4 linked regions of the Drosophila melanogaster genome follow. The protein of the gene in region 4 interacts with the protein of the main gene of each other region in a pairwise test. Each region holds a gene or a part of one and is shown on either strand. Other genes may lie near its edges. The genes, in order: eIF5, rau, Usp15-31 and Rap1.

Evidence for each region.
Region 1: the proteins of Rap1 (region 4) and eIF5 interact in a two-hybrid assay, tested with the Drosophila melanogaster proteins (one large-scale study listed by BioGRID).
Region 2: the proteins of Rap1 (region 4) and rau interact in a two-hybrid assay, tested with the Drosophila melanogaster proteins (one large-scale study listed by BioGRID).
Region 3: the proteins of Rap1 (region 4) and Usp15-31 interact in a two-hybrid assay, tested with the Drosophila melanogaster proteins (one large-scale study listed by BioGRID).

Annotation. Positions count from the first base shown.
Region 1 is NC_004354.4:15,986,462-15,993,907, forward strand, and holds eIF5 (eukaryotic translation initiation factor 5), read right to left. Parts: upstream 5,514-7,446; 5' UTR 5,361-5,513; exon of another isoform or gene 5,290-5,360; intron 4,922-5,289; 5' UTR 4,644-4,921; coding exon of another isoform or gene 4,622-4,643; intron 3,847-4,621; exon of another isoform or gene 3,584-3,846; intron 3,490-3,583; coding exon of another isoform or gene 3,393-3,489; intron 3,016-3,392; coding exon of another isoform or gene 2,967-3,015; 5' UTR 2,931-2,966; exon of another isoform or gene 2,649-2,930; 5' UTR 2,369-2,648; coding exon 2,156-2,368; intron 2,084-2,155; coding exon 1,607-2,083; intron 1,529-1,606; coding exon 824-1,528; 3' UTR 547-823; downstream 1-546. Other genes in the region: ND-20 (NADH dehydrogenase (ubiquinone) 20 kDa subunit), read right to left, coding at 1-215; CG46312 (uncharacterized protein), read right to left, coding at 2,967-3,015, 3,393-3,489, 4,622-4,643; exd (extradenticle), read left to right, coding at 7,048-7,312. UniProt on the Drosophila melanogaster protein: Catalyzes the hydrolysis of GTP bound to the 40S ribosomal initiation complex (40S.mRNA.Met-tRNA[F].eIF-2.GTP) with the subsequent joining of a 60S ribosomal subunit resulting in the release of eIF-2 and the guanine nucleotide.
Region 2 is NT_033779.5:5,876,472-5,881,166, reverse strand, and holds the start of rau (rau), read left to right. Parts: upstream 1-1,668; 5' UTR 1,669-2,179; intron 2,180-4,695.
Region 3 is NT_033778.4:24,742,133-24,746,763, reverse strand, and holds the start of Usp15-31 (ubiquitin specific protease 15/31), read right to left. Parts: upstream 3,016-4,631; 5' UTR 2,498-3,015; coding exon 1,925-2,497; intron 1-1,924.
Region 4 is NT_037436.4:1,858,580-1,864,194, forward strand, and holds Rap1 (Rap1 GTPase), read right to left. Parts: upstream 3,661-5,615; 5' UTR 3,482-3,660; exon of another isoform or gene 3,351-3,481; intron 3,238-3,350; exon of another isoform or gene 3,098-3,237; 5' UTR 2,633-3,097; coding exon 2,078-2,632; 3' UTR 536-2,077; downstream 1-535. Other genes in the region: HBS1, read right to left, coding at 4,454-5,615. UniProt on the Drosophila melanogaster protein: Ras proteins bind GDP/GTP and possess intrinsic GTPase activity. Plays a role in photoreceptor cell determination.

The sequences.
Region 1 (7,446 bases), on a different chromosome or scaffold from region 4:
AGTGACCACTCCGCAACGGAGGACTGTTTGGTGCCGAACGGAGAGTAGCCCTTCTTGGGCAGATTTTGGGCCACTTCGGCAACTGGAAGCGTTTGTTGTTGGCGCACCAGGGCCAAATTCAGAGCGGGCAGCGCCGAAATCGACGCATTCGGTGTCTGAGTCGCCTTTTGGAGAGCCCGGGACAGGGTCGATGACATCATCGCCGAACGCAGCATGTTGATCCTGCTAAAGTAAATCTGTAGTTATACTAGGACTGGGCATTTAAACATTTAATACCTATTTATGTAACTTCAACTTATTTCGATTTATAGGGGATGCGTATGATGTGACCGCCGCCGAACTACTAACTAAAATACCAAATGCACCAGGAAAATATACTATAAAATACGAATTTACTTTAGATATCCTATTCTCACACAAGCACATCACTTGCGGCAGCATGAACTTTATGCCCTTTTCCCACATGAACGCAATGGTTGGCTAAAAAAATCAACTTGCTTGAAGGTCATAGCTTAAGCTGACCAAAAGGCAAGTAAAAAAGTAGTTATTAATGTTTTTGTTTGCTTTATTTTGTAATATGTTGGTGTAATTCTATTGTTACAGCGGCTTGGGAAATGTTATGCAAACAATTGAATGGTAGTAAAGCGACGACTCAAAATACGATTAGCACTCTTAAGAACTAAAGATAAAAAAAACCACATGTTGATTTAACTCGCTAATTTATATTTCAGTTTGAATTGTAGATTATGCTTGCTCGCTTGATTTTCCCCCTTTTAAAATATTACTGGTTGGATTAGGGTAGCTGTTCTCTTTTTGATTCCTTTTAGATATCGTCGATGTTCACGTCGTCCTCGTCATCCTCGTCGCCTGCAACAGCGCGTGGAATTCCGCGTTGGACGACCCGTTGACCGCCACGTTGGCCGGCACTGGAAACGTAGTTATCCTCCTCGGATTCATCGTCCTCCTCCTCCTCACTTTCGGAGGACTCTTCCTCGGCATTCTTCAGCCAGAGAACGAATGGCATAGCTTTCTCGTGTATTTCGGCAGCAATATTTTTCGAGACATGTCGTTTGCTAACCTTCTGTGCCCACTCCAGTATGACGGCCTCATCGAGTATGTCCAGATCATAAAACAATTTGAAGATTCCAGCAACCTTGCTCATCAATATACCCTTATGCAGCTCTACAGTTTGCTCCACTCCACCAATTAGATAGCGCTGTGCTTTTGGATTATTGAGGGTGAAGCGAAGAAGCAAAGGGCGATTCTTCTGCACGTCCTTGATGATGTTTTCAGTGAAAAGCAGCTCGGCGAGAACCAATGGAGCCTTGTTAATAATATCCAAGCGTTCGGCTTCAATCACCAGCTCCTTGTGAGTTTGCACATCATCCAATTGCTTCTTGTCCCGCTTGTCCTTAACCAACTCGTAGAAAATATCAATGCGCTCCTTTTCAGTTTTATCATAGTCATCCGAAATAGTCATACCCTTAGCACCATCAGTCAGATCTTGCAAACGAGCACGAATAGCCTCCTACCGGGGTGGAGTAGTAATATACATATGAATAGCTCTTTAAGCTAATTGCGAGTATATACGGATTAAACAACGTACCTTCGAAACATCGACACTCCATCCCTCATCGTCGTCATCCTTGGCTGTTTTCTCCGGAATAGCTGCGCTAATCTCGGCCTCAGTTTGGCTAGCCTGATTTGTGCCGTTGCCGCCATCTGATTCACCGCCAGAGTTGTTGGCCAAAGAGTTATTGGTCATGGAGCCATCGGCGTTATCGTTCTTCTGCTTCTGTTTCCTCGAGCGTTTGCCCTCGGTTAGCGATGATCCTTGGGCGGCCGGATTCAATGACGGGGGGTTCTTCACAATGAATGTGTTCACTTTATGGTTAACCTTGAGCAGACCATGGAAGCCGCATGCCTTGCAAGACTGCGAAATGGTCTGGTTTTTGGCCGACACAGTTAAATTGGTCTCCGGATTGTCGCACTCGGGGCATAACACAAACTTGCGAATAAAACCATCCAACAAATCCTGCAACTTGTTCACATCATGCGATCCATTCACAACAAAGCGCTCATTCTGAATGAAATTAATAGTGATTAATGGGAGCATAGCTCATGGGTAACATAGGATATCTATCCGTGCACATACCTTGTGATCGAACAGCGTCTGGGCGCCCAGCTCGCAACCAAAGTACTTGGTTGGATAGGTGGCCGGGCGTCCGATGGCCCTAGCCACTTCCGCCATGTTGACCAGCACGGTCTTAATGCCGTTTCCTTTGCCCTCGACCTTTGCCTGCAGACGTGGCATCTTGTAGCGATAGAAGATGTCCGTCACACTGCGGTTTACGTTTACGGTGGCCATCTTGATAGGTTTTCGGCTCCACAGATAATGCTGATAATGGGTATTACTGTTGTTCGGGTAATGTTGCTACTGTTAGAGGTGGCCAGTGGTATCTATTGGTTATTGGTGGATGGGAAGTAATTGGCTTCAGGTTTTCTGCTAGTTTGTGATTGATCCAACTTTCGTTTCCGTTCATTAAATGTTCTTTTATTTTGAGTAGTTGCCGCTGCTGCTTACTTAACAAATGTATCCAGAATAAGCAGGAATTGGTGTCCTTCCGGAACGGCGAATTAATTGTGCTCTAATCAAACAACGGGTGTACTGAATATATTTGAAGAATCGGCCAGAATTGCTTGAGAGTAAGTTGTTTTTTTCTTCTTTTTTTTTTGCAAGGTTATGGCTTTGCTTTTATTTTGCTGAAGATTTTGTTTATTTTCGCCGTGGTAGGTATTCAGCTATTCTATTTTTTTCCGAATTCATATGAATAATTATATATACATATATATATACATATATATCTATATATATATTTGTATATTTATATATATATACATATATATATTTATTTATATTGTAAATTTACCAGTTTAAGTCTTTAAAAAATGGAGAAGGAGCAGGCTCATGTGTACCTGAATGGCTGTAACTTCCGATGTCTGTTACTCGAAGTCCTGCGAAGGCAAATATGAAATAGATTTGGTTAATCGAGTCGAATATGCAATGCTTATTACTTAATTATGCTAAGTTCTCTTTAAAAAAAAACCCACCGAAGTGCTGTTTCTACAGCGTATAATTTAATGCAATTTAGCACCACTTTCCCTTTGCTTGCAAATATAATCAATTCTTATCGGGTATTACAGTATTATGCATTTGGAGCCACATATGTGAGCCAAGGTAAAAAAGGCCCCTCGTATTAAACAGTAGCGAATTTAATTTGAATACCAGATTTTTTTATCGTAGAAACCCCGAGTGTGTGCATTGCAACAAAACGTCGTACGACTTGAATCAGCAATACTTAATGGTCTGGTCATCAGTGATTTGTGCTTACCGGTGATTTTTGGTTCGCCCTTTTGAATTCATGCACAGCTCGAACCCTTTACTCCGTTTTTTCTCAATGAGAAGTGTGGTTTTTTTTGCTGGTGTTTCTGAAAAATACAAATATAAAACGAAATGTAATTGCATTTAACGCACACGTTGGAAGCCAATAAAACTGCATTCGAATTGGAATTTGTACGGGACCTTATTGTATATTTGATGTTGCTTGAAACGTCAAAGCAAAAGTAATTGGAATCATTTAAAAACATAACACTGATTTGCACTATTTCGTGTTGCTGAGAGCCAAAAAAAAACTTATGGAACTGCTGGGTCTTAAAGCAGGGTCAATTTTAAAAGAAAAACATTCAGCAAATGGGTTAAGAGGTCGAGCGAGTATAAACTATTTTATTGTTTTGTTGTATCTTAGATATTAACTTTTGCAACCGGAAAATGACACTGAGAATTTCGTTAGGACCCCCCCTTGAATATATTCGTGTGTTTTCCCAACTAAATTGACGAATGTGACAAACATTTCAGTACGATTGTGATTCTTGTTCCCAACAGCCAATTATTAGCTAACTATGAGTAATTCTTTTATGTTACTCAAGGTCTGCCCTTTTATTATGTTTTATACGAGATTCTTGGGTAATATTAATAATAATAATATTATTTATTGGAATATAACGAAATTCAACGAATAAAGCTTGTCAAAGCACTTTTCAAGTGAATGGGTGTGTTACTAAATTATAAAACGAATCGCAGACATTATTTATTGCCCGATTATCGGTTTTCTATAGAACAGATGGCTTTAGAAATATCACGAAATGAAGTGAAGTCTGATCTGAAACTATGCATTTATTTATACGAAGTCTAAATCTTAATAGGTTTATATCTTATATAAACATATGCCATAATTCAGAAGATAAAGCATAATAAGCCACACAAATAAAATAAGAGAATGCAGTTGAATTCGCTGGATAACTTCTTTTTGCCTTTTACTTGTATCGCAATAGAAGTTTCTGGAATTCCTTTTTCAGAAACCATTGTATCCTTGCTTTTTTTTCGGTTGTGGGAGAAGGAAATGTGTTGGCTGCTTATTTTTAAGCTTATTTTTAATGTTAAAGTAACCTTGGATGGATCCGGATCTTGGTTAGTAGTAAGACATTATACAGTGGTCGGGATAAATATGTGTCTTAGATACAAATCGATTCAATGGGTTGTTGATGATTAACTATTACTTACCACCGTATCTTTCAAAAGTCATATAAGATTTTGTTTCCCCTCCTTTGGGGTGCGCAATGCCAGTTCGCAAATTAGACAAAGATATCGTACTCTCGGGTATTCTTTGTGAAGTCAATCGCAAATTGACTTGGAAAATATATATGGATAAATCAAAATCAAACAAATCGCACTGCCACGGGAAATCGATAACTTTTTTTTTTTTTGATAGCTCTGATTCCGTGCTAATATTGAAAAATATTAGTAACGCTTTTAACGCGCTTATGTATCGCAAAAATTGAAATTTTTGGTCTCTCAACTATTCTGCAAAGGGAAAGAAAATAAAATTAGGAATGCGCATGAACGAACATATGTATACCACTCCGTACTAAGTATTTCTTACATTACTTTAGTTTAGCTCAAATTTACTTATAATTTCGAAGGAAAAAGGTTAATTTAACATTCAAGTATATATATATTTTACATATATATCTTTTCCTATTACTTATGTATTCAGTACTTTTGTATAATGGCCATAAAAAACACTGTTGAAGCGTGATTTTTGTGTAAGCACGAAGTAAAGTAGCTTTATGCAGATATACACTAGACCCAACGTTACAAAAATTGTGGAAAACTGAATTATTTAGTATAGATATATATAAATGTACATTTTCATGCACGTATGCATTTACATATGGATGAAAGCCACGCCATTTAAACTTTTGAGGTTGTGTTCGTTTTGGTCACAATCACTTTTCAATACCTTTTCCACAAGTTTTCTATAAAGCGTTTCTGATCACAATGAAAGTAAATTAATAATTTTACTGAATTAACCGTTTAAGAAAAGATTTTCTCCGAAGTCCACGAACATACGACTAAACGTCACAGCACAATATGACCATAACGACTTTAGTGGGCTGCAGCCTATCACTATCGATTGGCCGAATATGATGTGAATGAATTTTAGCCTTTTCACACTTTCACTTTTATATAATTTATATGGTATTTATTAAAATGAAGATATGTAATAATACGCTTAAAAACGAAAGACCATTTTTAAAAATGAAGTTGACTAAAATAGAAACAAATATATGTGTTATATAATTAAACGTAGTTCCAATCAGCCTTTTAAAATATATGTTATAAGAGTGGATCATCTGTATTTCTTCTATATTCCAATACCAATATACCACATTTTTTGTAGAGGATATCTTATTTATTTTATTGAAAAAATGTTTAAAATATTATTTCAAGAGCCACATTTTAAATAGTATCGATACCCAACTCGCAGTGAGTAAGCACTAGAATGTAACTACGGGTAAGATATCGATTGTCCACGTTTTCACTAGCAAATATAAATTGCATTTTATGGAATACTTATCGATATTCTTACAGTACTGGAAAACTTTTTCATATCGATTTATTTTTCTGCGTATACAGAACGTACTTTCGTTTCATTGTTGTCCAAAAAAGATAATAATATTATATACTTGCGGTTATTTACAACTGCAAGTAATGTGTCACTAATTTTTAGTGAAAATAACACAAAATACGACTTGTACGGCAAATAAGTATACGAGGCAATCACGATAAATAAAAAACCGTGAGTATGGAATTTCAAGTGGACGCTTCTCAATACTTACATGCACATATATCGATGTGTGGATATGTACATACACCTTGTTATAAACAGTTTAAATCTTTTCTGACGTAATAAAATCTCAAGAATGTACATGTAAAACCAACAAAATGTTTTCAAACTGCATTCAAATTAATGCTTAACCATAACCTTGTGTGTATGTAAATATAAACTTGGCAGGTTGATTTTTTTTTACCATTCTGCTGGCACTAAACATACGTACAAGTGTATGTATGTGATGCACTCGGCGTCATTTATCTGTACATGTGTAAAATGTAACGTTACCTGTGGTACACAGCAATAAATAAATAGAAATAAGTTCATAAATAGTTCGGGTAACTGCCCAGCTTCGTGCTACGCATCTGAGATACTTTTTCACCCCCAAAAAGATATGCCGCTTCATGAGATTGCGACAGGTGGAGATTATTGCATTTCCAATAGGATACCAAAATGTCTTTTCACTTTTGCTCAAATGTCTGGGGGATTATTTTGTGGTGGGGTTTGTGGGTTTAATGGCTTTGTTGGTATCTCTTCTATAGATATGATGAATTTTGTAGCAAAAGATTTAATTGGTGTATTTGTTTTCAGTTTGTTAAGTATACATTAACTCAAGTTTTTACTACATTTTTAAGGGTTTCAAACTTATGTTTTTATATAAAAAAGAAATATTTATTAAATAATAAAACACTAAAAAATCGAATTGGTAGAAAAAATATTGGGTTATTTCCTTTTTTCTTGCATGATTTTAATATTTGATGTTTAATATTATTACAGAAACTTGGATTTGTAGCTTGCTTTGTGTTGCGGCACCATGGAGGACCCCAATCGCATGTTGGCCCACACCGGCGGCATGATGGCTCCGCAAGGATACGGCTTGTCTGGCCAGGATGATGGCCAGAATGCCGGCAGCGAGAACGAGGTGCGCAAGCAGAAGGACATCGGCGAGATATTGCAACAGATAATGAGTATCTCGGAGCAATCACTTGACGAGGCCCAGGCCAGAAAACATACACTAAACTGTCACCGAATGAAGCCGGCACTTTTCTCTGTACTTTGCGAAATCAAGGAGAAGACCGGTAAGCTTAAAACCCTATATTTATCTCTCATTCAAGACCATCAAATAAGTTGAAATGGTATTATGGATTTTGTGATTTGCTTGTGATACAATTGATTTACTAAATCAAACACAATTCTTAACGTAATAGTCTTA
Region 2 (4,695 bases), on a different chromosome or scaffold from region 4:
TGGGCTGGTGTGTACTTTTCACACGGCTGTGTGAAAAGCGTGCTATGATACCATTTTCATGTCCGCACAGTGCTGCACAAATATTTAACCGTTGGTCAGAGGAATGCCACTTAGCTACAAGATGTAACTTTTTGTGCCCCGAGGACAAACTTTGATACCCTTCAGTCAGAACGGAGAATGTTCTAAGGAGCCAAGCAATTTGACTGGGCTTTATTAACACCTTCGAACAGATCTTTCGGCTTCAATGTGAATACAAAACCAGTATCAATTTGTTAAACGGCGACCTCTAATTAGGGCCTGATTCATGAATTCTTAATTGACCGCCCCGGGTCACATGCAAACATAACTTGCCGTGCTCCAACTAATTAAATTACTCTCAAAAAGCAAACAAATAAAATTGGTTCCGCATTTTTCGCTCAGATTTTCACAACTCTGCGAGTCCGTCGTCCATCAGCGACATCGACTCATCAAGTTCATCTATCAAAGTCTAATGAATTTTACTGGCGCATCAGTTGGTTGGTTTTTTCCTTCCTTTTCATTCGCAAATTATCGAGCAACAAAAAATCTGTTATTTATTTTTGTTTTTCGCTTCGCTGATGATAATTTCACTTTCATTAATAATTTTTGGACTTTTTGACTTTGTCATAATTAATTTTTAAACTTTTGCTTTTCTTTGTTGTTTCTGTGGGGTCTAAAAAACATCAAACCGAAGCAATCTACGACTTGCCGGAATGGAATATCTCGCCTGAATGTTGAACTTTCTTTCACCTTTTCAGTTTACATACTGCCAAAGTTCAGGGCTTATTTCCTGGATTTAGTTTCGCCAGACTTAAAGTTACAAAATCGATCCTGTTAATCGAATACTATAGAAGGAGTCTTAAGGTCTACCTATTAAAAATGCATCAGCTTCATATTGATTGTTGTGGAAACTGTTAAGGTAGTACAGTTTTTGAATTTTCTTGTTGTTTAGTAACTAAATAAACTACTAATGCCGTTCTAGCGTGAACACATATATACATACGATTACTAGCTAAAGTCTTCTGCTTTGAAAACTCCCTGATTTATTACAAGTCCGTAAACTCTAGCCGTGCCTCGCCCTTCAACTTTGGTCATTTATGTAGCTCTGCCCAAGCCCATCCGGCGTCGCTCGACCGCGAATCCCCATCCCCAGATTTCCATGAGGAAACCCACATGCCGGCAAAGTCTAAGTCTGATTGGAAACCAGTTTTCCTCTCTCCGAAAAGAGCGAGCCGCAGACAGAACTAGTTCGCCCGCTCACTCGCCCACGAAGCGCCAACCCACACCCCCAGTGGCTCCATTATGAACGATTTGCGTTTTCCCAAAATCCATTCACCTAACATTCATACTATTCACATGGTATCAGATCAGCTTGGCTCATTTCAAGTTGAATTAAAGTCCCCTGTAGAAGATAAGAAGAGAGAGAATTTTATAGTCAGCTTAAAAAAATTAAATATTAGTTATCAAATTATTAAATAACTTGCTAACTGCAAGTATCTGCGTTGCTTTCCGCTGATCAAGCTAGCTATAGTTTTTTTCTGAGTGCAGAGAGGCGAGAGCGCGAGAGCCAGCTCACACACACATACAAAACAGGTATCTGAATGCGACTCCTCTCAGCGGGTTAGACCTCGCAGACGCTAGCCGTGCGGCTTCAGTGCGTCTGTAAACACTGCCGAGTGCGGTACTCAATCTACATTAGCTCCGCTCGAAAATTTCCAATTCTTAGTGAACTGGCTAACGGTAGCGAGCCTATTCGAACGAAAGTGAATGTGCGTCCAGATCTAAAATAAAATTGGTACGAAAGCCAAAGGAATATACATATGTACAAAAAGTGAACAAATTCGGATAGAAACTCAAAGTGCAACGCTAAAATAAAAATCAGTGCAGCTGCTTCCTGAGTGCACCTGTTTCCCCAGCAGGGAGCACGTACGCATACGCACCTTTGGATACGCGAAGAAATGCGAAGTGGCGTAGAGTGCTTGATAACTTAATGCCAAGCAGCCAAAGGGCCCTAAAAGCGGCAGCCGAAGAAAAACGACGCGACCTTGTCTTGTCTTCGCACTCCGGACTTCTTATACCGCCATCCATCAAAGTCTCGGGCCTTAAGGTCTTGGGATTACACACAAATCACATTTGGATACTACAAATCATACGCTAGAAGGTAAGCGCCCGATCGCTGGTCCAGTTTTCGCTCTTCATCTAGAAAGTTTGATTGCTAGACGAGATCTAGTTCGGTCGATTGGGTTTCTTCTCGCCTTGGCGAAAGTCCAGAATTTTCACAGCCCACTCTCCTGCACTCAATTATCGAATTGCGCGATTAGATCCAGACAGTTTCGCTGGCCAGAGGAGTTGATTGAACCCGCAACGGTAACCAAGCTGTTGGCCAGTCACTTCCTCCATTCCCGAGGTCATCTAGGGGGATTACAATGCAAATACGGAATTGCTGAGCATCATTGTCCGGTTCTTGGCCTCCGACAAGTGTACATCCGTGGATCTGCAACTCGACAATTTGCTCAGCATTTTTTTGAATTTTTATGCAAATATTTCAAACTTCCATTAGAGGGCCACACAGGCGGACATAAGACCTTCCCAGCTATTTTGGAAATGCATAAACATTTCATGTAAATTTCTTGGTCGAGTGACTCTCTTAATTAGTCGAGTTGCTTTGTTGGCCGATTATGAATGACACAAACTTTGGGTCTCGACCAAACATTTGATTTGATGCATATCTTGTAGATTTCTGTGAGAAAATCCGTCTCTGTTGTTTCAAGCTCAGATGAATGATATCACTCAGTTCGGTAACAATGCTCATTGGGGATTTTCGATTAACAATGCCCCCCAATCGGATACACATGTGTATCATTTCATTTGTCTTTGCTGTGCTTATTGTCAAACTCCTTAATGTCAATTCCACATAATATCATCTAATGAGGAGTTGCAATAATAAGTTAGCATTGTCCACCAGACGGCGGTGTAACCATGATTACGAGTGGGGAAAATCCCGATGTCCAAAAGCGGTTGGTTTTGATTATAAAATTGCTAGCCTGAGGTGGTGGTTACCATCACTTTCTCGCAATTTTCAACGCAACCGCAGAAAAGTATTGATATCGAATTAATTTCCTGTCCTCTCGCACACAGGAGTATTCGGTCTGGAGCATTGTTTTCCTGTGGACACTGAGGGGCTAAAGATTTCACATACCAAGCACGTAGCCTCAGACCGTTTGGCCCAACTTGTTGTCTTTGTTAGGTTCTATTTGGCTAATTAAAAATCAGGAAATGCACGAGTACAATACGCCCCAGAGGGCTCAACGTGCTGCGATCCCATCCTGAATTTCAGAAGACTACGTGAGAGAGGGATTACCTTTTTGGGCCTACCTGCTCGTGTGCTACTGTCAAGTGCGGTTTCCTTCAGTTTAGCGCCTTCTGCTTCGATTTCGGAACAGGTAGTACCACCAAATCTGTGCTTAACAGAAGTATCTTGTATTGGGCTGGATACGTGAGCCATGAAAGGATATTCGCCTCATTTAGTCTTCACATTGCACACACGTAGTACTTGCGAGGGGCGTTTTAAAAGGAAGTAGTTCTATTGATTAATCGATGGCAGGAAGTCGAGGGTGGTCTGCATCAGGGATCGTTTATCTTTCGCTGGAGATCTTGGCACTAACATCTCAATTCGCTTTTATAGTTTTTAGCCATTTTCTATCATATTTGTATTTAAGAGCTCCATTCCAGTGAATGGTTGAACAAACCATTTTGTATAATTTCCTCGGTAATTTATGCGTGGCTTTATAGCTTGAGGAAGTTGCTTGACTTCCATATACAGTTATGTACATTCAAGTCTATTGTTTCTTCATCTAACCAAAGACACACCCGCACTGGCAATAAAAAGACAATAGCATTTGTCAATCGACATAAATGTGCGCTAACCGGATTTTTGCGTACATATATGTAAAAGTTCTACTCTAAATTATTCCGGCTATAAAATAAAACAATTTATTTTACTGCAATTTTCCTAAGCTATTTTATTTTATTTCACACCCGAAGTCGTACATTCTCTTGTTGATTCTTAAATTGATTTACAATTTATTCGAGCGTTGGCAACACAATTTGATGTTGGAGCTTAGCATTCCGAAATATTCAAAATTCAATTGAAATGAATGCTGGCCCGAATCGGGGGTTTTTTTCGGTTATATATTATGCACTGCAGCCTCGTTTAACGTTTCTCGCTAACTCGGCTAAATTACAGCGAAAATCGTACTGAGTCAGCGGCTTCAAAATGGTAAATTCAATAAACAAGTTCAGCAGCGAAATGAAAAAATAATATACGACTTCTTTAATATAAATGATGGCACAAAGTCAGCAAAAAACTGGAAGTTGGCGCTTTTACTCGTGGTTTTTCTCTCAGCCGCTCTCGGTTGATATTTTTTTTTGTTGACACTTCGTTTTGTTAACAATTAATTAACAAAAAACCAAGGTACACAAAGCCTGTTAACTGTTTGTTTGCGCACGGCAACCTGTGAGATATGGTGGCGTAAAACAATTATAACGCCTTATGGCATCTGGTTTTCTCTAGCACTACAATGTATAATTCGAAACGATTAGGCATTGGGGAATTTGTGTGTTAAGTGATTCCGTATTGATTTGGCTTTCAGCGAAACTATGTAGTATTAGTCATAA
Region 3 (4,631 bases), on a different chromosome or scaffold from region 4:
AAAGGTCAGCTGCACTACGGCCATAAGGTCTGCCCTCAACAATTAATTAAACTTGTACAGTCACAGTAAAGCCTCTGGCAACGGATCGTTCCATTCAAATCAATCAAAAACATACACAGATTTCAGCTTTCTATAATCGGATTACGACTTGAAGTTGAATGTTGAGTGAGCTTGGAAATATTTGTTTATTCGACATAATAAGTCGATATACTTGAGCATTATATTACTCGGCTAAAGTGTCAGGAGCCAGAAAACACGAGACGCTAAGTTGCACTGTTTACAAATTGATACGCACACACTGGGGCGCACAATGTGAGTATTATTAGATCAAATTCAATTCCAGCAGCCTCTAGTTGCAGCGTTATCGCTTTCTGGAGGGGATCGGGCCACTGGCGTGTGTCATTGCGCCCTGCACTTGTCTTCGGCTCTTCACTTGTCGCTTTCCACACTTTGTGGAGCTGTCTTCTCCGACAGAAGCGTGGCACACATAGGATGGTAGTCGTGCTCCCTCGCCGGAGTTCCCGATCCCCGGTTCACCACCCGGTCCGTCATTAAGTGGTGTCTCGCTCCAGCAGCTCACGACCTGAAAAACTCTTGTTTTTCGGACTGTGTGTAAGTGTGTGTGTGTGTTTGCTTGTTTGTTTATTATAGCCCGAACGGAGCAACAAATGTTGGCAACATTTACACAAAATTGTTTGAACAATTGCTGTCTGCGAAACAAAAGGCGCCCACCTACACCTAGTTACAGACCCCCGGAACCCCGCTGCAGCCACTCGAAGGCACAACAAAAATTATGATAATAATGAGACAGCAATTGTTTAAAAATAAAATTAATTTCCATGCGCCGTCCTCGCGTATGGTAATCGTAAATTGCCGCTGAAGAGCGTAGAACATTGGAGATACACTTCAAAAAAGCGGAATCCGATGTATTTATAGTTGTGTAAACAAAGGCTTTTTATCCGCCGAACGGAATGTGTGAACAAAGACTGGAGCTACCATATAGATTAACATACCGAAACTCCCTGGAGGAGGAGCAGCGAGCCAAAGTCCCAATAAGCCGCATTTTGGACTGATATACACAACACGGCTCGACTTCCTTATCATTGGTCACGCAAATTGTGACTCAGCACGGGTAGCAAAACAAAAAGCTGGGCAAACGAAGCGATACGAAACAGAAACGTTGCAAGGGGCGATTCGTGCCCATTCTTGACCCGGTGGGAGGCGACTCTTTGCGGCACAAAAGACCTAGAACCAGCACCAGAATACCAGAATACCAGAACGGTGCCAAATCAGAGCCACTCGCATCCAGATGCAGATGAAGATGCTATGCGTCCGCCGTAGACAAAGAGCAGCGGGAGCAAAACAAAGCAGCCGATAACGCACTAAGCGAAGATGCCTTTTATGAAAGTACGGCTGGACTCCTGATAAGGGGCATTGTGGCACTACTAAGTGCGGAATGAGGGGGTGGGGAAGGGGGGTTTTTTAGAAACTAGAAGATGCGCTCTAAGCAGCGCGCAAACAAAGCGAAGAAGGAAAGGTATACTAGGGGGAACTACATACATATATGAGTTTCGTTTATGCGCCCTCATTAATCGCAGCTAAACAGTTCGTATTAGATATTTTCATTTGAATGTAATTAACTAAGTAATGCCTTAGTTAAAGGAAGTAACCATCCAGAGAGGTAAATAGCCAGATAGAAAAAACTGCAGTGATTAGCCCACTGTTCCTTAGTTACCCTAGATTTATAAATTATTGTGCCGTATAAATAAGAAAACCGTTCAATTACTCACAATAAGAGACCAAGGGCACCATGATATGTTTTGATGAGTAATAGTAATAGAATGTATCTATTATGTATCGTAAGATACATTGTGAAACATTTGCTATTTGATATATATAGCTTTCCACACTTTTCCGCGCTTACCACGACATTAACCGTTGAGCTCAGGTGCTGGGCGATCCGGTTGAGAAACTTCCTGAAGGACGAACGGCGCAGAGCACGTGTCCGCTTGCTGTTGATGTTGCTACTGCTACTGTTGTTGTTGTTTCCATTGCTGGCGGTGGTTGTGTTGTTGTTGGTGGACGAAATGAATGGGGCCTCGTAGCTGCTGAGCGACACAATGCTCCCGCTCCTGCCACGCCCACCTCCCACGCAGGACGAGATCGCCGTGTGGCTGCCACGCCGCTCCCTGGCCCCGTTATTCTTGCCGCTTTCGTTATCGTTTTCCGCTCCCGCGGACGACGTAACGGCCACTGCCGTTTTGAACTTACGCGTCCAGCGGAAGGGATTGCGTGGCATGGAGAAGGTGCGGCGAATCTTTTTGGCGGCATTCGTCGTGCTCGTGTCTGCCGCTGTGGTTGTTGTTTTTGTAGCTGGCAGCGTAGTAGTAACTCCTGCTGCTACTATTGCTCCTGTTGTTGCTGTTGCTGTTGTTGTTAAGTGGGTGGTGGCGGCGTCGCCCTCGCTTTGCTCTCTTCGCTCCTTTGTTGTACCCATGCTGTTCTTGCTCTCGCTGTCTCGCTCTCTCGCGCACACTAAACACTCTCAGATTTCGGTCACATATAAATTGGTATTAACGTATGAATTGCACGGACGCGGGACGTACTGTACTACTTAACTAATGGCTAAAACTATCGCGAGTGGAAATTGACCTTTTAGCAGAGATTTCGCGGCCTCGTTATTGCACTTTTCCGATTTTCGCCTCACGGTTTCTCGTTTTTGTGTCTGCCCCCACCCCTCTTTTCGAGCACCGCTGGCTCTTCTTCTTGCTCGCTGACCCACTCCGCGACTCTTTTCCACCTCTCACATGCAAATACTTTCACTTTTTCGGGCGGCGTCGGATTTGCAGCGAAAAAAATTGGCTGGTCGATGGTCGCGCGATCGAACCGTTTTCTATCTTGGGGCCGCGAGTCCGCTAGTATTATTAACAAACAAGAGTGTGATTGTTTCTGGCTGTTCAAAAATACCTTCGATGTGTCGAGTGTGACTGTTTCCCGTTTTGCTGGTTATACACAAATCGCTATCGATGTTTTCTGTTAGTGTGAACATTTTTTCTTGGTAGCGGTTTGGCAATGGTTGGCAACGCGACAAGTGCTCGTTTTCAAAAACGGTTTTTATAAATTACGTATCGTAATTACATTAATGCAATTTTTTAAGCGAATTAAGAGTGCTTTCAAATGTATGCTTAGAGGTGTGCTAAATTGTAAGTTATTCTCAAGCACTTGATAGTGACTTATATAGGTCTTGCTCTTATATTATACCCGATTACTTATCGATAAGTGATAGCACGTTTACATAAAATACCGGCGGAAATCGATAGGTAGATTATGTGCGGTCATTTCAAATAATGTACTCCATATTCGAACACATTTTAGATGTCTTATTTTGATTTGCTAATCAACTATTTTGGAAAACCTAATTTATGCCAGCAATGCTGATAAATTACTTTAGTACGCGTGCTATTTAAGGTGGAATTATGCCGCCGGGCTCAAAGGAACGCCACTCTGTGAATTTCGGCGTTGGCAAATGATATTCAAACACCAGTGATACTCTAGATTTACGACGGTGACAAAGCCATCGCCGCCGGCGACAAGGACGAATGTGGACGGACGGTTCAGTTTCACTTTCATCACTTCAAACCCGATTAAGCACCTCATTTTATGTGTTATTTATCTACTGATTGGATGGCGATGTGTGGCGGAGAAGCCGTTGCCCTCCAGCCTGGGCGGCTGGTCTATTGCCTTTGTTATTTTCCACTCGCGGGGTTCGCCGTTCTTGCGTACTCGCCCTTCCAAATACAAGACGACAAAAATACGCGTATAAATGCCACATAAAACAATACAAAGAATAATAGGCCACCATTTTTCACCACCCCGCCCACGCCGACGAGCCACGCCCACTTCTGCGAGTCTGTCAGACAGCCACTCAGTCGGCGACACCTGTCAGGACCCCAGTTCCTCCCACTTTCTGGCAGTTTCTTCCACCTTCTCCCACTTTCTTTCCGCAGGCGCGTATGTGCGTAGGCATAAAATAAATAAATAAAAAATTGACTACCAGCCGAGGACCCACTGGGGCAGGAAAATAATATTATGTCGACCCATTGAAACGAGCATGATGTAATTTTCTTTTCCGTTAAGTTTCATTTGGTCGCTGAGTGAAAGTGGCTTCCCCAAGTCGACACACACATTTCCTTTATGATTTCGGAGCAGGTGCTGCGTTGGAGCCATTGGATCTGGACTGGCATTGCCAATTTGCTAATTTGCAATTGTAAACTCCATCCGCCACTCGAAACTCGGCGCTGCCTTAGTCTTAGGCGGTTCTTCTTAGTCCTGGCCGAATGACATAATTTCGCGGGATTCAATTATATTGCCATATTACATAAGCCGATTACAGCGATGATAACAAAGCATTAAACTCATTAGGAGACAGTCGTGTGGGCGTGCTGAGTGGACTAAAGGGGGCTGAGTGAGCCGAGTGAGTGGGGAGTGGCAGTGACAGAGAGTGAAGATGAGATGGCAGCTGGCGAGGCCCATGCCCATTAAATGAACTTATCAATAAAAAATGAAAGCGCCGGGGAGAAGCGAAAAAAAACAGCACACAACACCAGGATATGTACAGTGGGCACTCGAAA
Region 4 (5,615 bases):
TAACAAGCATCACACCAGGAATCGGAGGCGAGTCCCCCAGTATAGCACTTTGCTTAGCCCAAAACCTAGTCATGAAGCGGAACTCGAGCCACTTATTGTACAGTAATAGAAACTACCACGTAACTCTGTCTTAAAATTCACTTTCTACATTTTAACTGCTGGCGAGCGATTCGCCGGCTTCTACGAAAAGCATGCATTATGATTGTATATCTCAACCCGCGAATCTCTCGGAACTTGCATACCATATCAGCTGTGGATACAATGCGGTTTTACTACTCCTACGCCCCAACTTAACTCCGAATCGATCCTATCGCAGATCTTACGCTGGATTAACATGCGTGCTATAAACTAGCAGAATATTATAATTATAAAGACGAGCTATTTGATTGTAATTGTATATGTATAAATATTTGAATAACAACCTTATATAACTATTCCAAGTATCAAATACAGATATTTCAAAACTTCAATGCAATCGTCTTGTCTTTAACTTCTGAATGAACTATGCTAAGAATAAGGCATACGCTCCACAAATGAATTTATTTAATTTTTATTTTGTTTTTGCATTTCCTTTTTAATTTTTTATAAACATAATACATTTATTAATAATTAAAAGATGCTCGATCATGTCGACCTACTGCGTCGCGAATTCGGGACTGCCAGGATTCTGAGATCAGAGGCTCTGTGTGGGGTCCCAAAAACGCGACCAGTAGGGAAACAAGTTCGAAAAAATGGTTTTTCAATTACATTTTTCACACGCTCATTATTACATTATGTTATTGTAACGGTTGGTTTGTTTGTTGTTTATTATGTTCAAAAATGATTTGTATCTTTATCATATATTTAATATATACGCTTGGGCTTAGGTTTTATTTAGTTTACTTTTAATGTTGGTTGTTGGCTGTGTTTAGACTTTGATTTAAGGGCATATTGGTTACTACTCGTACGCGAAGTTTATGCAATGTTTATTATGAAATATTTGTAAATTACTTCGTTTTTAGGTTTCTTTTCATTTTGGGATTGACACGACAGTTTAGTTTGTGTTAAACCATTTCTTATGTATTAAATATTCTAGAATTTGTGGCTCTCTCTGCACTTCCTGCTCCTCTTCTTTTTACCAGGAAGCGGAAATGAGCCTTGGCCGCAGGAGCCTCTTGTCTCGATTCCGCTTCCGTTTTCGTGTAGCTTTTTCGCTCTCTGAGAGCGCGCCGGAAATGTGTAGGTGTGTTTGTGTGTGTGAGTTCTGGTTGCGAATGTGTGTGTGTGTGTGTGGGATGTGGCTGGTATGTGTGTGTTTGGGGGGGGGGGTTCAGATTTGATGCAACTGATCGTGGTAAACAATTAATTGTAAATTTGTTTTAAACTAATTTCTAAGGGGGAGGGGGCTCATTACTTCTGGTTGTTTGCAACATTTTGACATCATTTGCATACAATATTTTTATAAAATATGTTCCTTATTCATGATTCATTTCCTTTCTCGATTTATTTGCTCATTTCTCTCGTGGAATTTGTTATCTTTATCTTTTAGGCGTACAATTTAGTTTAGCTTAATTTGATTTGTGTTTCGAATGTTGTTTTCGGTTCTATTTAAAGATATACTTGTTGTTGGTTGGGCTTTCGCGTGTATAAGTAGTTGTAGTTGTAGATGTGTAGAGTACAATCGAAAAGAATCAATAAATACGAATGTTTTAGTTTACGAATGTTTCACTTGTTGCATAATTTAAAAAACGGCTCAAAAACGAACGACAAATATATTTAAATATGTAGATATATATATATAATAATTCCCCATATGAATTAATGGTTAATCAGCGAAAAATAGTACAATCATAATAGTAGTAAATGGTAATAATTACAAAAACTTGAAACAGTTAAAAACATTTGTCAGTTTAAGTTTTGCTTGTATATAGTAGATTGGTTATTTCAATTCGACAATTGCCATCGGATCCAAAACGAAACGAGAACGAAAAAAATTTGAAAATTCTTTACTTTACGCTTATACTTTTGCTCCTCTCTCCTCCTCCTCTGTTATATATTTTTTTTTTTGTTTTTTTAGTTTTGGTGGTTTTTGGAAGTCTTATAGCAGAACACATAGGGACTTTTTCGGCTTCTTCTGTTTCTTCTCGGGCGACTTCTTGTTGATCTGCCGGACCAGGTCGTAGAAAATATCGTTCACATTCACTTTGGCTTTGGCTGAGGTCTCCATGAAGGCGCAGTTGAACTGGGTGGCCAGGTTCTTGCCCAGCTCCTTGCCGACGACGCGCTCCTCTTCGAGGTCGCACTTGTTGCCCACGAGCACCATGGGCACATCGTCCGTGTCCTTCACCCGGAGTATCTGCTCGCGCAGGTCCTGCAGATCGTTAAACGTCGATTGCGCCGTGATCGAGTAGACCAGCACGAATCCCTGGCCGTTCTTCATGTACAAATCCCGCATGGCCGTGAACTGCTCCGTACCCGCCGTGTCCAGGATCTCCAGCATGCACTGCTGTCCGTCCACCTCCACCTGCTTCCTGTAACTGTCCTCGATGGTGGGATCGTACTTCTCCACGAAGATGCACTGGACAAACTGGACTGTCAGCGCGGATTTGCCCACGCCGCCGCTTCCAAGGACCACGATTTTGTACTCACGCATGCTGGCTGCTGTGCTGTTTGTATATCCTTCGTATATCTCTTGTTTTGTGCTAAATTCTAGGGAAGAGACCCAAAATGCAGGTAGGCCAGGTAGGTGGGTTCACTTTCCAGGTGGCTCTCCCTCGAAAATCACTTGTTTTTAGGCGTTGTTCGGCGATTGCTTGTCGGTTGCAGTTGTTTTTTGTTTTTGTTTTTTTTTGTTGCTCTTGCTTATTAGTTAATATATGTTTTATATTTAAAGTAAATTGTTTGTTGTTGTTGCTTTTGCTGTTGATAACCTTTGTGCCGTGTAAGTGACTGCGTGAGTGTGTGTGTGTTAGTGTGTGTGAATGTGTGATGGTGTTTGTGCTCCCTCTCTCGCTCGCTCCTTCCGCCGAGTTGCGTGCGTTCAATTGTTGCTTTTTTGAGCGGAAATATCCTGGCTTGACTGTTCCTCGAGACGGCCGTCACTGCTACCGAGAGCACACTGTGGGGGGAGTAAGAAGAAAGGCGCTTTTTAGACACAATAAACGCTAAATTCTTTGCGAGTCTTTTTGGTTTGCGTTTTTTGGTATGCTGAGAACTGACTGCACTCCCTCTTTTCTTCTTCACAACTCTCTCGTTCTCGTTCTCGCTCTAATGATTCATTTTCAGGGTTGCCAGGCGGCCGCACCGAACGCAGCGCCCCACTGCAACGCCTCAAGCCGGAGATTCCCTTAAATTTCACTCAGCTCTCTCACTTAAAATGCACTTAAATTGCACACTGGGCACCCATGTGCGTACATCGGCCTACCGAACGGCCACTAAACAACTGAACCACGCAAATGCACCCGCATGTCGGGCGGCAGGGCAACTCTGGGCGGAGTTTTACCTATGCTTTTCACTCGCTGCCGCCAACTGCTTGCTCCTTGGGGACCGCTTCACCTGTCGCCGCTCGCGAATCGCTTCACTTTTAATTTAACACTAGTTTGCCTTGTAATTTCTTTACTTTTTCGCCCTCAGCGAACAGCGAACACTCAAAGACTAGGGCTGCCAAAGCATCGATGGCACTATCGGCACTCGCAGGCCGAGGGCTACGCACGACTATCGCAATGGCTTAGCGATGACACTTTTAAAGCATTGCTGTAAATTTTAAAAATAAACTATAAAATTTATATTCGAAATATATTTGATTCTTTTAAATTTATATTAGCACATCAAATTTTGGAAATATTTAAATTGTTATTTTCCCTATATATTTTTTTTTAATTTTAATTTTGTTAATACGATTTCATATTGAAATTGTTTTCTACAGTAAGTGATATTTTATGGTATTCCTATTTTATTTTTTAAGCATAATTTGCAAATAATATATAAGCTGTGTTGCCGATAGTTTAAGAAAAAATTCTAATGCTTGATTGTTTCATGAATCAGCAATATGATTCGCATTCAGAATTTTAGTCAGCCGCATATTCACATTTTCGAGATACAGTTTTGAATCATAGAATTTATCATAAGGAAAATAATTACAATTTATACAAAAATTGCAATATCACGTTTTTGGAATATTATTGTAGGGGTCATAATATTCCAAAAACGTGATATTGCAATTTATGTATAAATTGTAATTATATTCCTTATGATTAATTCAATGATAATAAATATAATAATTTCTTAAAGTGATTAATTCCATGAAAAACACACTCCACTTTAAGATACCGCTAAAATGGTCAGACCGAAATCTCTTCCAATGCTTCAGCGTCTTTTCGATTTAATCAATTCATATAAACTATGTATATTTAGGAAATCAACAAAAGTTAATATCTAACTAAAATTTCGTACAAAATCCAGCGCGGTCATCGACCTAGCGGATCTTGGTGACCATTCCGGCGGCAATGGTGACTCCCGCCACGCGAAGCATCACGCGTCCCAGCTCCTTGAAGTCCGCATACCGCTCGATGCAGATGGGTCTGCTGGTTTCCAGTTCCACTAGGGCACACGAGTTGTTGCCCAGGCAACGCGGCTTCTTCTTGACCACCTCGCCGGTGCTCTTGTGAATCGATGCGGTCAGCTTGCAGACCACGGCGGGCTCTATTAGGGATTGGTGGTGCAGCAGCACGGGGAAGCCCATGGTAATGGGCACCTTGACGTTGAACACGATTATGCGGGCCTGGAATCGCGTTGTCACCGGAATAGGGGTTTGTGGATCGCTGATGATGCAGCCCACGGTGACGTTGTTGATGTCCAAGGCGGGCAGGGTGACGGAGACCTGATCGCCGGCGAACACGCAAGTCTGTGGGAATTCGTTCATGGTAAGGGATTTCACTTGGGCCTGCTCCCGGCTGGCACCCACCAGCACCTTGTCGTTCAGGCACAGCACTCCGGTTTCCACTCGTCCCGAGATGCAGAATCCGGAGCCAGTGCCCTTGTAAATGTCCGACACGGACATTCGCAGCGGTCTGTCGATGGCTCTTTCGGGGATCTTGAAGTTCTCAATGACATCGAGGAGGTGGCGTCCACTGTACCAGTTGGTCAGGGCGGGTTCCTGGGCTTTCTTGGTGAGGTTCTCGCCGGTTAGTCCGGAACAGGGCGTAAAACTCACATCGGAATCCTTGAAGCCCGCCAGTTTGAGGAAGGACTTTAGCTTGGTCACAATCTCTGTGAATCGGTCCTGGGACCAGCCAACGGTGTCCAGCTTGTTGATGACCACGCCTAGCTGGTTAACCCCCAGGGATCGCACTAGAATGGCGTGCTCTCTAGTCTGTCCGCCGAGCTCAAAGCCGGATTCAAACTCTCCCCTTGTAGCATCCACCACCAGAAGGGCAACATCCGCCTGTGTGGCACCGGAGATCATGTTCGGAATGAAGTCCTTGTGCCCCGGAGCATCCAGCAGTGTGACGATCTTGGTCTTGGTTTCGATACGCGACTGGCCCACGTCCATGGTGATGCCGCGGGCCCGCTCCTCGCCCGTCTCGTCCAGCACCCAGGCATACATGAAGCTCTGCTTGCCCAGCTTCTTGGACTCC